Nothobranchius furzeri: one gene and its partners. The protein of the gene in region 2 interacts with the protein of the main gene of each other region in a pairwise test. Links are inferred from orthologs where the notes say so. Each region holds a gene or a part of one and is shown on either strand. Other genes may lie near its edges.

The links.
Region 1: the proteins of zbtb8a (region 2) and znf276 interact in binary tests that used the Homo sapiens proteins (3 or more experiments, as listed by UniProt). The two-hybrid records come from large-scale screens. The link is inferred for Nothobranchius furzeri from reciprocal best matches to the Homo sapiens genes ZBTB8A and ZNF276.
Region 3: the proteins of zbtb8a (region 2) and zbtb48 interact in binary tests that used the Homo sapiens proteins (3 or more experiments, as listed by UniProt). The two-hybrid records come from large-scale screens. The link is inferred for Nothobranchius furzeri from reciprocal best matches to the Homo sapiens genes ZBTB8A and ZBTB48.

What each region holds. Positions count from the first base shown.
Region 1 is NC_091744.1:86,422,201-86,427,494, reverse strand, and holds the start of znf276 (zinc finger protein 276), read left to right. Parts: upstream 1-1,694; 5' UTR 1,695-1,832; intron 1,833-2,444; 5' UTR 2,445-2,499; coding exon 2,500-2,752; intron 2,753-4,824; coding exon 4,825-5,137; intron 5,138-5,227; coding exon 5,228-5,274; intron 5,275-5,294. Other genes in the region: vps9d1 (VPS9 domain-containing protein 1), read right to left, coding at 120-192, 1,146-1,238. UniProt on the Homo sapiens protein: May be involved in transcriptional regulation.
Region 2 is NC_091758.1:35,822,401-35,827,225, forward strand, and holds the end of zbtb8a (zinc finger and BTB domain-containing protein 8A), read right to left. Parts: intron 3,838-4,825; coding exon 3,775-3,837; intron 3,528-3,774; coding exon 2,653-3,527; intron 2,522-2,652; coding exon 2,352-2,521; intron 2,126-2,351; coding exon 1,808-2,125; 3' UTR 1,293-1,807; downstream 1-1,292. Other genes in the region: hmgcl (hydroxymethylglutaryl-CoA lyase, mitochondrial), read right to left, coding at 305-400. UniProt on the Homo sapiens protein: May be involved in transcriptional regulation.
Region 3 is NC_091755.1:39,586,074-39,590,881, forward strand, and holds part of zbtb48 (telomere zinc finger-associated protein), read right to left. Parts: intron 3,002-4,808; coding exon 2,709-3,001; intron 2,634-2,708; coding exon 2,528-2,633; intron 2,449-2,527; coding exon 2,356-2,448; intron 2,283-2,355; coding exon 2,196-2,282; intron 2,126-2,195; coding exon 1,971-2,125; intron 12-1,970; coding exon 1-11. UniProt on the Homo sapiens protein: Plays a critical role in transcriptional regulation and chromatin remodeling. Acts as a regulator of telomere length. Directly binds the telomeric double-stranded 5'-TTAGGG-3' repeat.

The DNA.
Region 1 (5,294 bases), on a different chromosome or scaffold from region 2:
TGACAGCCCGTATCAGAGGGCCTGGTACTCCATACTCCCGTGCTTGAGCTTTTTCTTAATCAATGTCTAACTTAATGTTCATGCATTACATTCAATATGCAACAAAACACACATCTTACTTTGGTGCGCTTCTTCCTCCAGAAGTGCTTGTGAAATGTAGTTGATGGTCCGCAGGTATTCAAAGTAAGCTTCCTGCAGAGAGATCATCATCAGGTAAATAACTAGGGTCAACAATATTAATTATTACTGAAGCTGGATTATGGTGACGTGAATTACAGACATGCATCTTCTTCTCACTCTGAATACAGTCTAAAATGGTGTTTTGAGATTTATTACATATTTTAAATTGCTTTCACATCATTGTCTGCAATTTGATCCAGCTGACTCTTCTGGCTTGTCTTGTAAAATAAAATAAAGCACTGGTATATTTACATTTATGAAGCTATGTGAGCCAAAAAATATGTGAATCCACCTTATTTTCTACATTTTTAGTCATTTTAGTTCTCCGTGCAAACTAGTTAGATGATTTCAGACGCTATTAGCTGACCTGCAGCAGTTTAACTGCCTCATTATTATAATTATTGTTGTTGTTGTCCACACTGGAAGAAGTTTCATGTTGTCTGAAAATCTCAGTAAAAGCTCACCAGTGATAGATCACGACAGATAGCTAGTAAGATTTTTAAAAAAGCCAATAAGTCTAAAATGAATAATTGAAGCTAATTAACACTTATGTGCTAACAGATGTTCGATTTTTCTTTCAAACATAAATAATTCAAATAAAATAGAGCTGAGATATCCCGCAGGTATAGACAATACTACTGGTGTTAACAATAATATCGTTATAAAAGTGTTTTACTGCACTAACTAGTGAAGTCCAATCAGTATTTGTTGTTTATAGAAATGTATACCAGTATTAAAACTTAATTAACCAAACCAGTCTCGTTGATTCAGAATACATATAAAATAATTTAAAAAAAAAACGTAAGCAGATGGAATAATTATGAGCAGCAGGCTCCAAGCAGGTTTACTGGGTTTACGGAAATTTCAGCTCAATTTTAGCCTCCGTCCCTTTGGTCTGTTTACATTTCTACTCTTTTCTGTCCGGTGGAAACAAAAAGCTCAACATCACGTTCCTGCTGATCTACCTTATGTTTGTTGTCTCCGTCCAGTTGAATGGCTGTTTTTGCCATTTTCATGGCATTTTGAAGAGGTTTCACGCCGCTGTCAGTTGTAGCCATGGTGGTGTTTGGGATGCTTTTTTTTTGCCTTCTTCTTCTTCAAAAAATTGTCTTCTTCGTTGTTTGCACTCAAGAACAAATAAACACCGCCCCCTGCTGTTCATTGTCTTCACATGACACTCTTCCCCTAACTTTGGCTAATCAAGAGCAAATATTTGAAATTCACATGACTTGTTATTCATAATGAGAGGACTAAACAACCCCCCCAAAAATATAGAGATTACATCCTTTAACATAACTTTTAAAAATGGTAAATAAACGTGTTGGAGAAGAGTGCTTTGTTTGTGAACACACGAGACGAGTTAGAAAAAACACATGAGTCATATGTTCACCATAATCTAATAGAATACAATTAGCCACAAATCACTCTTTTGCGACTCATCTATTTTGAGTCACAGGATTGTGACGCTCCTTGTCCGGTAGGGGGCGCAGTGTCATATTTCCTTTGTTTTATTTCGGTAGCACTTCCGGGTTCTAATGTTTACATCTGGTCGCAGCTTGTTAGCCACGGAGTTTTCTTTATTGTAAAAAGGAACTCTGTTGTTATCGCAAAAGAAAATGTGTTCCGAGTGTTAGGATCTGTGCACACTCACGGTATGCTCTGCCTAAAGGCGACATTAACTTTATTATAAATGCTCGTGACTAACTGAAACTGCGCATACTGACTCAAGCTAACCAGCTAACGTCAGGTTTTGTGATACAACGCTAGAAAAATTTGTTGTAAAGTTAAATGTACCAAACGTCTTTGTGTGTTTTTTAAATGTCCATGAAGCTCATTATTTCTATTATAGAACGTTTTTCATAACAAGACTAACGCGAATGCGACTTAAAAATGATCAACTTTACAAAATACCGATATTAAATTGTCTTTCTATTTATCTGCCTGTAGAAAAAATGTGTAGTTTCTCCTCTCTGTTCTTACACTGCAAATTAGAAACGTGTAAAAATAATACACATTTTAAGGATTTTAAAAAATATAGATAATGCACCATTTTAGAATAATCAATCACATTTAACTGATTTTATGAAAGTTTTGGTCAATATTAGTTTCCTCCAGTCAAGAGATTTTTTGCAAAACACTTCTCAGAATTTTATTCATTCATTCATTCTTTGGTTTGTTGCTTTCTTTGAGATCAGATTGTGCTGACATACACACAGAAGGCCAGTGGAACAAATAGAAGTTTGTTTTCGTATGTTTTTCCACAGTGGCACAGGCAGCAGAGCACACCTCACAGGATCAGCTGCTGACACACAATAAACGATGAGGAAGAAAATCAGGCGTCTAAAAACATCAGAGATTTCACGTCTGGCCAGTCGGATCCAAACAGCAGCAGATGTGAGTGAGGACAAAAAGCTGTCTGGCAACAGAGGAAAACCCTGTAAGGCCATTTCTTCAACCACCTACAGCTTTTGTGTTGACGGTATAGAAACGGACAAGGCCGCTGCCTCAGACCTCAACATGAAAAGTGCAAACGATATGCAGAAAGAGCAAGAGAGCAAGACCAGACCTTCAGGTGAGTATACTACTTTTAAGTAGTTCATAGCTGGAAATGCAAGAAGGCCGTAGCATCAGTGCCTTGGTCAAGGGTCAAAGGCTAACACCTATAAAAACCTCATTGCTGTGTTTCCGAGTGTTACCTTGTGTCTATGGTCTGAGTGCAGGTGCTAAAACTCATTGATGGGGTTGTTTGAACTTGAACAATTTCGATTCCAATTCCTTGTTTCAATTCTAGTTCCTAGTGATTCTCGATTCTTTCAAGCGGCTAATAACTTTACATGTTTTAAATGAGCCAGTTAACTGTAGGTCTTACTTGATGAAATGGCCCTGAACATCTCCATTACATTTAGTTTTATTAACTTTCGAAAGTGAAGCCACACTTTAGAACATGGTAACGCAAACACTCCTGGTGGAGTCCTCGTTGTTGGCATTCAATCCAATCCAATTTTATTTATAGAGCGATTTCACAAGGCATTACAACCAAACAAGGCGCTGTACACTAAAAATGTTAGTTAATTAAACCGGCGTTATACAAACATGCCGAACACAGATAAAGATAAAAAGGAAATACAACAAAATTCCCAAAAATAACAGCTAAAAATCAATAAGACACAGGGTGAATAAAAAAATTAGAAAAACATTTTAAAAAGAACCTCAATAGTACGGAAGTCGATAATTGTGGAGTCCATTTTTAAACAGTGCAGATGTAAGTGATGGTCATAATTATGTTGTATAAGCTAGGTTGAAGTAGTGAGTTTTCAGGCATGATTTAAAAATGCTAGCTGTTGGTGCTTGCCTCACTAGCAGTGGTAATGCGTTCCACAGCTTGGGTGCACAGACAAAGCCCTCTCTCCACGGCTTTTTAAACGTGCCTTCGGAACAGCTAGGAGGAGCTTATCTTCAGACCTGAGAGCACGCGGCGGGTTGTAGTAATGGACAAGTTCACACAGATATGGAGGAGCTTGATGGTTCAAGGATTTGTAAGTCAGAAGCATAATTTTGAAGTTTATCCTGAACTGCACGGGCAACCAGTGGAGAGATTTCAGAATTAGAGAAATGTGTTGTCTTCTGTCAGCTCCAGTCAGCAACCTAGCTGCTGAATTCTGGACCAGCTGAAGTCTAGAAAGAGCTGCTTTACTGATGCCGTATAAGCAGTATATTCAGTGACTTCTTGCTGTTGGCGGACTGAAAAACGAAACTACATATCAGAATAGAAAATTTGAACAATTCCAGGAAAAACTGAAAATTGGTCCTGATTACAATCAATGCTCGATGCCCTACCCTACTTGTTGAACAGCGGATGTGATTAATCGTTGGAGATGTTATCCCAGCCCCTCCTGCTGTGCTTCTATTAGCATACCTGCCCACAACTGGTTCAGCAAGTTCAGCTCTCTCTGTGGGAGGGTACACGAGGTAACAGGGTACAAGGCAATCTCAGTGAAAGCTTCATAAAACATCTCCATCTTCGGCTTGTTAATTAGAAAATGAGATGACTTGTTGTGAATTAGCGCTATATTAATGAACTGAATAGTTACCTTTAATACTTTAATCACTTTTGTGAATCGCCTGCACCAACGGCTTAATTACTTATTCACAAGGATGCAGTCATGTATTTAATTATTGAGATATGCGATTGTTTGTTTTGCACTATCCTGCATGGTACTACTGTAGATCATTTTTTAATGTATATTGTATATCATATTTCTATTTCACCTGTTCCTTTGTCACTCCGACTGCTTTGAGCGTGTACATGACACAAGAATTTCCCTCGGGATAAATAAAGTTGTTCTTATCTTATCTTAATAGTGCAGCCTTTGGTGGCCTCTCTTACACATTTTGGCATCGTAGTTTAAAATGCAGCCTGGAGTCGATCCCTGTAAATACCTTTAGGAGTCTGCCAGTTCCTTAACTTCTCCTTTTCTGCCTTGTGTATTTGTTTGTATCCTGTAGTACTTTGTACTTTTTCTTAAGTTCATTTTTTATGCTCACAACTGGAGTATTTAGTCTCAGGTTTTTCGTAATTAATGAAATTATTTGTATTGTGATTGGTACTCGGAGGAACCAGGATGTACTTTTGCCTCTTCACAGGCAGACTGTCCACTGCTGTCTGCCGGCTTTGCCACGGAAAGTTCTCCCCACGCAGCCTTCGGCACGCCTTCAACAGATGGCCTCAGGATTCTCTGGAAATGGTTGACGAGTCAGACGCCACGTCCCAGCCTCCTCTTTTGTTTCACACAGATTTCCAGAGGTTGGTTGGGGTCCAACTGGACCGTGACCCCCGACTTTCAGAGTTTATCTGTAAAAAATGCTTTGCAAAGTTCTACAAGTGCCACAATATCCTGATCAGGTTCCTGCAGAGGGTCAACCTCCCTCCTGTTGGAAAGGAGAACCTGCAAAGTCGGTGAGTTGTGGGGGGAAATGCAGCTGAGGGCTTATTTAAAAGTCAGAGTTTATTTAAATGTAAAACCAAGTAATTTCTTTTACTTTTTAGGAAGAATTCAAAGTGTCAAGAGTCTTCATTAATTCACAGCTCCGGATGTAAATAAGATCAGAATTTT
Region 2 (4,825 bases):
GTCAAATCCAGCCCGGTATCTTTCTGTTGTTTCCCTAATCCAACACAGTTGATTCACCTGTGCAGCAGCACATCAGGCTCCCCAGAAGCTTGTTAACCACCTGCTGATTGACACCAGGTGTGTTGAAACAGGGAAAACACTAAAAACAGGTGGGACAGCGGCCCTCAAGGACCGAAGTTTGACACCTGAGCTACAGAGGGTTCCAAAGAAAACAAGCTAACAAACATCGATAACTAGCTTAGCCGTCACCTCTGGACGTCAAGTCTAAAACATGAACGAATGAAGTCGGAAAATTAGGACTCACCGAATACACTTGGGCAGCAGTGGTGAACGCCAGGTAGTGCTGCCCCATTCCTGGTGTGAAAATCTTCTTGTTTACCAGCCTCATAGCAGCGGCCATCACTCCTGCGGTCCTGCCTCGGCTCTGACGTCACCTCGCCGCGAGCGAAATTAAGAGTTTTGTGTTGAAGTAGCGCATGCGCGCCATCTACTGGTCAAATAAACACACTGAATGAAATGCTCAGAGGATGAATAGAGCACAAATAAATGTTATGTTACTAAATATTATATATATATATATCTATATATATATATATATAGATATATATATATATATATAATCATAATGCCCTTACCAGGAATAAAACACACAAAGTGCTTAGTGAATACTATCAAATACACAAAAAATGATTTATTGAATATTTAATTATAATAATCACACACACACACACACACACACACATATATATATGTATATAAATATTTATATATAATGTGTGTGTGCGTAATAATATAATTGTATATTTATTTAATTTATTTTTGTTTTTTGTGTTTTTGATAGTATTCACTAAGCACTTTGTTTTTTTCCCTGGGAAAGGCATTATGAATAAACTTTACTAACCTAAATATAAGCCTGATCAAACCTCGTGTTGTTACATCCTATATGAAAATAAAGTATTAGGGCCCAGCTCTGCATTTTCCAGGTCATTTTTCTTCAATAAAACATTCTTCTTTATACTTAAGTGTAATAAACAACAGCTTTGGGGGTATTTAAATGCTCTTTGGCGTGTACTACCAAATAAGCACCACCTCATGATGGTGCAGGGATTTAAAAGTATATTTTTGGAAGGTTTTAAACATTTTTAGAAATTGTATCTACTTTAGATTACACACTGTTTAAAATAAATAATCAGGTATTGTAATCCAGAATGGAACATTTTTCTTTAGTTTGGACCCTCCAAGTTTTAAATCTCTAATACACACACACACACACACACACACACACACAAAACAACGGTATAAAAATATCTTTAATGAGTGAAAAATAAAATAAAACAAAGAAGTCAAATAAATAAATAGTTGTTCATAACATAGTGCATATCACAAGCACTGGTTAAACTGCAGACAAACACTGAAAAATAAACTTTCCCTTCTCTGGGACGACTGCCATCATTTCTGAGTGATTAATGTTGGCTTTAATGCCAAAAAATGGTCCAAAAAATCCACCAAAGTTGTGACGTTTGGTCGTGCATATAAAGATTCAAAAGAGTTCATAAGAGTTATCATATAACTACAACTGAAACAACTGAAACATTGATTATATGCATGCTTTGGATACCGTATATCTTCCAGAAGATCAACGAATAACTTTCCACCTGCACCACAATCTCAGCTAAATAAAATAATAGTTGAATTTAACTAGTTGATGTCTAACACATCACAGGTGTGTGTATATACAGGTGTGGGCTTCAGTTTGTCCATAAATTCTCTAGCATGGCTTTTTATCTGCACACATTTTGATCCAACTTCACTGCAGCTCCTCGTCGCTGTCGTCCACCTGCTGGATGATGAGATCTGCTCCCGAGTCTTCAGCCAGGTCATCGTCATCGTTTACCATCCAGGTTCTTTTAGCGTCCCCCTCCTCCTCGCCGTCCACGCCTAGCAGCAGGGCCGGCTCGTCATTGGACGTCTGCAGACCGTCCATGGGGACGTCGTCGCAGCCCACTTCCTGGATGCAGGCGGTGCACATGCGGTAACGGCGTGTTCCCTCACAAACCACATGTCCAGTCTCTTCTGTCACCTGACACTTGCACTTCCTGCACACCAGCTTCCTGGCCTGATGGATCTGTGGGAAAGCAAACTAGTTTAACAATGTTTATGAATAAATGAAGCTAGAAATCAACTCAGATGCTGGTTCTGGTCTTTGGACATGGCAACGTTTCAGAAACACGTTTAAACCACTGTTTTCCTTTTTCAGTAGCAGGTATGAATCATCCTGAGCGTTTGTGTCAACTGGAGGCTCCATAAACAAACTAAAATAGGTGCTGCCTCCCAGCTGTGACAAGACTCACCGTCTCAAAGTGGCTGCGGAGATGCTCCAGGCGAGTGAAGCGCTTGTTGCAGGCCTGACACGGATACGGCCTCTCCCCAGTGTGGCAGCGCAGGTGGCGCTTCAGGTCGGCCTTCCTCTTCACCGTGTGTGTGCAGAAGGGGCACTTGAAGCGCATGATTGGATTAGAATCTACAAAAGAAAGAGTTTGAGATATCTGTATATATTTTTTCTTCTGCCAAGCCTGTTTCATGAGAAAATGTTGCTTTATCACATTGCTAAAAGCTAAACGCGCTATTTGGGTCATACACAGCTAGACGCACCTTTATTAAAGTGACTAATAACACCGACGATGGGCGGTAGAGTGGCATAAAGCTCCTCTGCCTTTTCAGCCTTTCGAGTCCGCGCCTCCTGAATGTCCAGATCCTCGTGCTGGCTGGAGCGACTGCTGTTAGACACTTTCCGCTTGGCTCCTCCTCTTCCACGCCGGCGCTCTGATCCTGGTAATGTGTACAGTGGGTCCTGGGGGTCCTGCAGGTCGTCTACCTCTGCGCTAATTTCGTTAACAGGGCTGCTTGGATCCGTCTTCAAGGCTAAGGAGGAAGCGTCCTGCTCTGAGTCTTTTCCAAAAAAGCCAGACTGGGATCTGGAGCTGTCGCGGGTCCAGAGTGCAGGCGGTGGGCTGACGGAGCGGGGACCTTGCTGCTGGTGCTCCGTGGACTCTTCTCCTGCTCCACTCGTGAACGAACATGTCTCAGACAAGCTGAGGCACCGATCGCTGTCTTCTTCTTTCACACTGATGTCCAAAGAGGACTTGATGAAGTTCTTGCAGTAGCTGATGACGCTGTTCATCTGCAAGTAGCTGGCTGCAGACATCACCTCAATCACGTTGTGACTGGACAGGTCCAGCTGGCCCGTGTAGATGAAATCTAGGATGACGGTAAAAGTCTCTGGGCTGAAGACGTCGAAGGTGGCGCTGGCGGTGTCGGGCAGCCCGTCGGACCCCTGGGACAGCAGCATGCGGAAGTAGCCGCTGCTGGCGAACAAGACGTTACGGTGTGCCCTGAAGTGCTGGCCCTCCACGAGCACGCTGCAGTCACAGAAGAGCTCCTGGCGGCGCTGCTGGTTGAGCTGCTTAAGCAGGCTGCTTTGGTGAGACGCGGTGATGTCAGCCGTGTTGAACCACCTCTGAGGCTGCCTGCAGGAGACAGCATACAGCTCGTTACTGCATCAGACTACAGGGGTCCTGTGGATGCTCATTAATTAAACTGAGACCTTCAAGCTAAAGTTTAAATTTGCACTAAAAAGAATCGGAATGTTTACACGGGCACGGACTGGGACACCCTTCGCAGTTACAACAACTTCAATTATTCTGGGATGTCTCTTTTTTATTTTTCCTAAAGTGCATTTATGAGATTGGACACATTCCTCTACAGCAAACTCACTCATCTAGGTCCTTACTGGAACACGGGCACGCCTGCGTCCGTCTGGCGGGATGAAAATGTCTGCTGGAGTTCAGATGGAAAAAATTTAGGCTCAGTTTTGACTCACGAACATCACAAAGTCAGCAGAAGGGAAAGGAAATCACACATCTGTTGTCACGGTGACTCTTGCAGATGAAACTTGAAAAATGAGAATACCGCGCAAACGCTTATTATTTCAGTATTTCGACTAAAAAATGTTAAACTAATCCATGAGCCAGACTCAGTCTGTGCAAATCCAGATGTTTGAGCCTTTATTTGTTTTAACTGTGATGATTACGGCTTACAGCTGATGAAAACCCCACATTCTAAATCTCAGTCAGAATGTTGGGAAAAGATTCAATATTCCAGACTTAAAGTCAGCTGATGAATCCAGAGCTGCAAAGGGTTCCTGAGCCTTTTAAACAAAGATGAGGGTAAGATGTGGAGGGGGCATGCTCTGCATGCCCCCTCCACATCTTACCCTCATCTTTGTTTAAAAGTGCTTTTCAGTCCATCGGTCCCAGCGTGCTCTCTGTAATTAATGCTTCTCTGGTTTCCGGTCAGGTCCCTGCTTACTATAAGAACGCTGTAATCCACCCGCTTCTTAAAAAACCGAGTCTGGGCCCCTCTCTCCGTAGCAGCTTCAGACCCATCTCTAAACTTCCGTTCATCTCCAAGATCTTGGAAAAGGCTGTGGCTGTCATGTTGAGGGTGTGGATGACGGCAGACCACGTGTGGTGGAGCAGATCAGGAGGCAGGAATGCAGGCACGGATGAAATAAAAGTAGTTTTAATGGCAGAGCGGGAACGACAGAACAAAAACAACGCTGACAACAAACAATGATCTGACCAAGACTGATACAAGAAGGGAGGTATAAATACACAGGGGCAAATCAGGAACACCTGGGCAGGTGAAACCAGTAGGGACTAATAAACGGCAGGGGAGAGACACAGTCAGGGAGGCAGGAGCAGAATGTGACAGTGGCTAAACAACTCACAGCTGCTCTTGATGAACAGAACATCTATGATAGCTT
Region 3 (4,808 bases), on a different chromosome or scaffold from region 2:
GCCGCTCGTTCCTGTGGAGCAGAACAAGAACGCGGGTCAAAGCAGGATTCAGACGGTGACCGGAGCAAACTGTTGATTAGTTTTGTTCTCACAGATTAAATCACCTTTTGTTTTTTTACAGATTTAGACAGAAAACAGCTAAAATTAGCCTTGATGATGTGATCACAATAATAAATCAAATTAATCTGTTAATTCTGATCAAAGCCACCAGAGTTTGTTTCTCATTAATTCAACATTCAGGGTCTGACAATCAAACGAGTTCTGGCAAGATGACTAAAAAGTAGTGATGCACCGATATGAAAATTTTTGGCCGATACCGATATTAAGATCACTGTTATGGCCGATAACCGATATTTGCCGGTATCGATCTACTGACATTAATGCTTCTAAAATCAGCAGATTTTGTATAGAATGAAAATTATTAAAGCTGAATTTACGTTATGTACACACACACGCATTTACGGTTCTGAGATGATTTCATTCACTGTTCACACGACTAATCAATGACACCCCACCCCCACCCCCCTCTGAAACAGGCAAACAAACGGAGACGAGATGGAAAAAATATCAATTGTTAACATCGGCCCGGTTTTATTTATCGAACCGATACCGATATGTTAAAAAATGACTAACATCGGCCGATACCGATGGAATTGTCCATCCCAACTAAAAAATAGGGAAATATAAAATTCAATTTTACACATTTGAGACCTTAAACCAGCGGCACTCAATAGGGTCTTTCTTTGTGAGCCACGTACCGCCGGTCTACTCCGAGCCCCTCCCGGATGACCGAGCTTCTCACCCTATCTCTAAGGGAGAGCCCAGCCACCCTGCGGAGAAAACTCATTTCGGCCGCTTGTATCCGCGATCTCGTTCTTTCGGTCACGACCCAAAGCTCGTGACCATAGGTGAGGGTAGGAACGTAGATCCACCAGTAAATTGAGAGCCTGGCTTTCCAGCTCAACTCTCTCTTCACCACGACAGACCGGTACAACGCCCGCATCACTGCAGATGCAGCACCAACTCGCCTATCGATCTCACGCTCCAGTGTTCCCTCACTCGTGAACAAGACCCCGAGATGCTTAAACTCCTCCACTTGAGGCAGGACCTCATCCCTGACCCGGAGAAGGCATTCTACCCTTTTCTGACTCATTAAAGTTTAATGACCTGTCAAGTGAAGTTTATTGGTTTCTATTTTCAATGTTTTTGAGAAAATATGCGTGCAGAAATATTTTACAATTAAAGTGTTTAAGCTGTAATCATCAGAGCACTCATTAGTAACTAGATTACTACACTTATTTTGAAAAGATGCTCAGAGTGTTTGTTACTTTTAACGATAATCCAGATGAACAAAATTCAAATATTCCTCATCCAGAAAGTCCTGCCTGATGCCCAGACCACCTGACATCTTCTCTCAGCTGAAGATCATCGCTCTCTGGGATCAGACTGCTGATCACATGATCCCAGGACTCAGCGGTGATGTGGAAAATATTCCTACCACATACCGGCAGACATCGACTCAAGTCCCATCACTAGCTGTGTCCTTGTTTAATGCTTCCTGGTACTTTTAAGGGCCGCTTGAAGATGTCAGGTCAGGTTTGATTTAAAGTTTTATTTTCATAAGTGACAAATAGGGATGCAATGACACCGCTTTTTCCCAAACCGATACGATACCGATACTTGGATCTGAATGCTCGCCGATCCCGATTGCCGATACCGATACTTCTACCACACAAAAAAATGCAATGATTTGGATTACAGATTTTATTTTCTTCTCTGCTTTCAACAGGAAAAGACTGTGAGGTAGATAAAAAGTTAAATATATGAATAGAAATGATCACAAAACTAAAATATTTGGTGAACAGAAATGACGAGTTACAGTGAAGCCATTTTCAAGCAGCTGCACTGGTGTCGGTTAACTTTTACTGATATCGATACCAGCATCAGTGCATCCCTAGTGACAAACGAACCTGTGAATGGCTTTGATGTGCATCTGAAGACCGTTTCTACTCGATGCTCGATGGCCACACTCCTCACACACAAACGGCTTTTCCCCTCGATGCTTGGCTGCTTCGTGCACGCGTAGCTCTGTCCGCGTCAGGAAGGTTTTAGGACACTGAGGACACTATTTGACAGGACTGCGAATAAGACACCTTTCCAGCCTTTAAACGGGGAGCACACGTCTGGGTACTCACTACATGTGGTTTGGGATGGCCGTGGACCTTCATCATGTGCGTCGTCAGCTTCTTCTTGTACATAAACTGCTCGTTACACATTAAGCACTAAGAGAAGAAGACAAAACTGTATTTGCAAGAACCCATTTGATCAGTCGTGTGGACTGGGAGGGACGTTCACCTGGTGTGGCATTTGTCCCGTGTGGGTTACGACATGCACCCGCAGCTCCTCCTTTGTGTTAAAGCTGGAGGAGCAGGTTGAGCAGGCGTACGTCTGGAATCACAGCAGCACAAACACTAAGTTCTCCCTGGAAAACAAGGGCAGACCCCCTCACTGATCTGTCGCCACTCACCAGCCCTCTACTGCAGTCTCTGCTCTCGTGGACGAGCAGATTCTCCTTTCTGAAGTACCTCTTCCCACACTTGAGGCACCCAAAGGGTTTCTCTCCTGTGTGCCGCCTGCGGGACACAAAACGTCAGTGGCTGCTCTCTCTCTACGGAGACCTCCGGGACACGGACGGACAAACTCTGTACCTGTTGTGGACCTTCAGGTAGTATTTGCTCTTGAAGGACTTGTTGCAGATGGGACACGCGACTGGGTCTTTGTCCTCTGCAGCAGCAGCGTTCTTATCATTTGTTTTATTCGGAGTCTTGCATTTCTGTGTCGCCGGCGTGGACGCAGAGGTGGGACTGCTCTCAGCAATGAGGAAATACTCCTCATCCGTGTCATCAGCTGCACCCTCCAGGTCACCTGCACCTTCATCCTCCTGCTCCTCTGCTGCTGGCTCACCTGGTGCCTGACGGACATCGGCCATCACCTCGGTTTCCTGCAAACAGAACGAGGTTAGGGCTGGGGAATTGAAAAAGGCTCAGCTGTTTCACCCGAGAGACACAGAAAGACAGGCGTGTACCGGCACAGACCTGACGATACGATACGAATCACCGTGCTGGGGAGACGATACGATACGAATCACTGTGCTGGGGAGACGATACGATACGAATCACCGTGCTGGGGAGACGATACGATATGAATCACCGTGCTGGGGAGACGATACGATACGAATCACCGTGCTGGGGAGACGATACGATACGAATCACTGTGCTGGGGAGACGATACGGCACGAATCACCGTGCTGGGGAGACGATACGATATGAATCACCGTGCTGGGGAGACGATACGATACGAATCACCGTGCTGGGGAGACGATACGATACGAATCACCGTGCTGGGGAGACGATACGATACGAATCACCGTGCTGGGGAGACGATACGATACGAATCACCGTGCTGGGGAGACGATACGATACGAATCACCGTGCTGGTGCTGGGGAGACGATACGGCACGAATCACCGTGCTGGGGAGACGATACGATATGAATCACCGTGCTGGGGAGACGATACGATACGAATCACCGTGCTGGGGAGACGATACGATACGAATCACCGTGCTGGGGAGACGATACGATACGAATCACCGTGCTGGGGAGACGATACGATACGAATCACCGTGCTGGGGAGACGATACGATACGAATCACCGTGCTGGGGAGACGATACGATACGAATCACCGTGCTGGGGAGACGATACGATACGAATCACCGTGCTGGGGAGACGATACGATACGAATCACCGTGCTGGGGAGACGATACGATACGAATCACCGTGCTGGGGAGAGGATACGATACGAATCACCGTGCTGGGGAGAGGATACGATACGAATCACCGTGCTGGGGAGAGGATACGATACGAATCACCGTGCTGGGGAGAGGATACGATACGAATCACCGTGCTGGGGAGACGATACGATACGAATCACCGTGCTGGGGAGACGATACGATACGAATCACCGTGCTGGGGAGACGATACGATACGAATCACCGTGCTGGGGAGACGATACGATACGAATCACCGTGCTGGAGAGACGATACGATACGAATCACCGTGCTGGGGAGACGATACGATACGAATCACCGTGCTGGGGAGACGATACGATACGAATCACCGTGCTGGGGAGACGATACGATACGAATCACCGTGCTGGGGAGACGATACGATATGAATCACCGTGCTGGGGAGACGATACGATACGAATCACCGTGCTGGGGAGACGATACGATTTAACGTGATGCTAAAATCCTTTTTTATGACTGGATTTGATTAGAAAACCCCAAGCCAGACACTTCCAAGGCACATCCCGTGCTATCGCTAGATCTCATTGTTCCATCAGAAAGGAAGAGGGTAAAAACTGCTGCCACCTAGCTGTGGGAGTTTGAACTGCACCACATAAAAAAACACAGTAAACGTTAGTCTGTAAATTCTTCATTAAAAACCAATACGCTGCTTTTAAATCTCGATTCAGGGTCATTACAGGAATGTGGCGAGTATCCGCTTATCGATGTTTTCCTACATCCCTAAGGCTGACTGCACATAGAAAGTTAACCTTGAACAAACCACTGCCGAGCTAAACTTCTACGTTATCTCAGAGAGAGTCTTAAACCATCGGGGTTAGAGAGGTCTGGTTGTTTACGTTTAAATCTCTGTGGCCTGCAGTGGTCTCCCACCTATTTTTGTATTGTTTTTATGCAGGTGGTTGTGATCTGACTCAGATTTGGCATTCGGCAACACAACGAGGC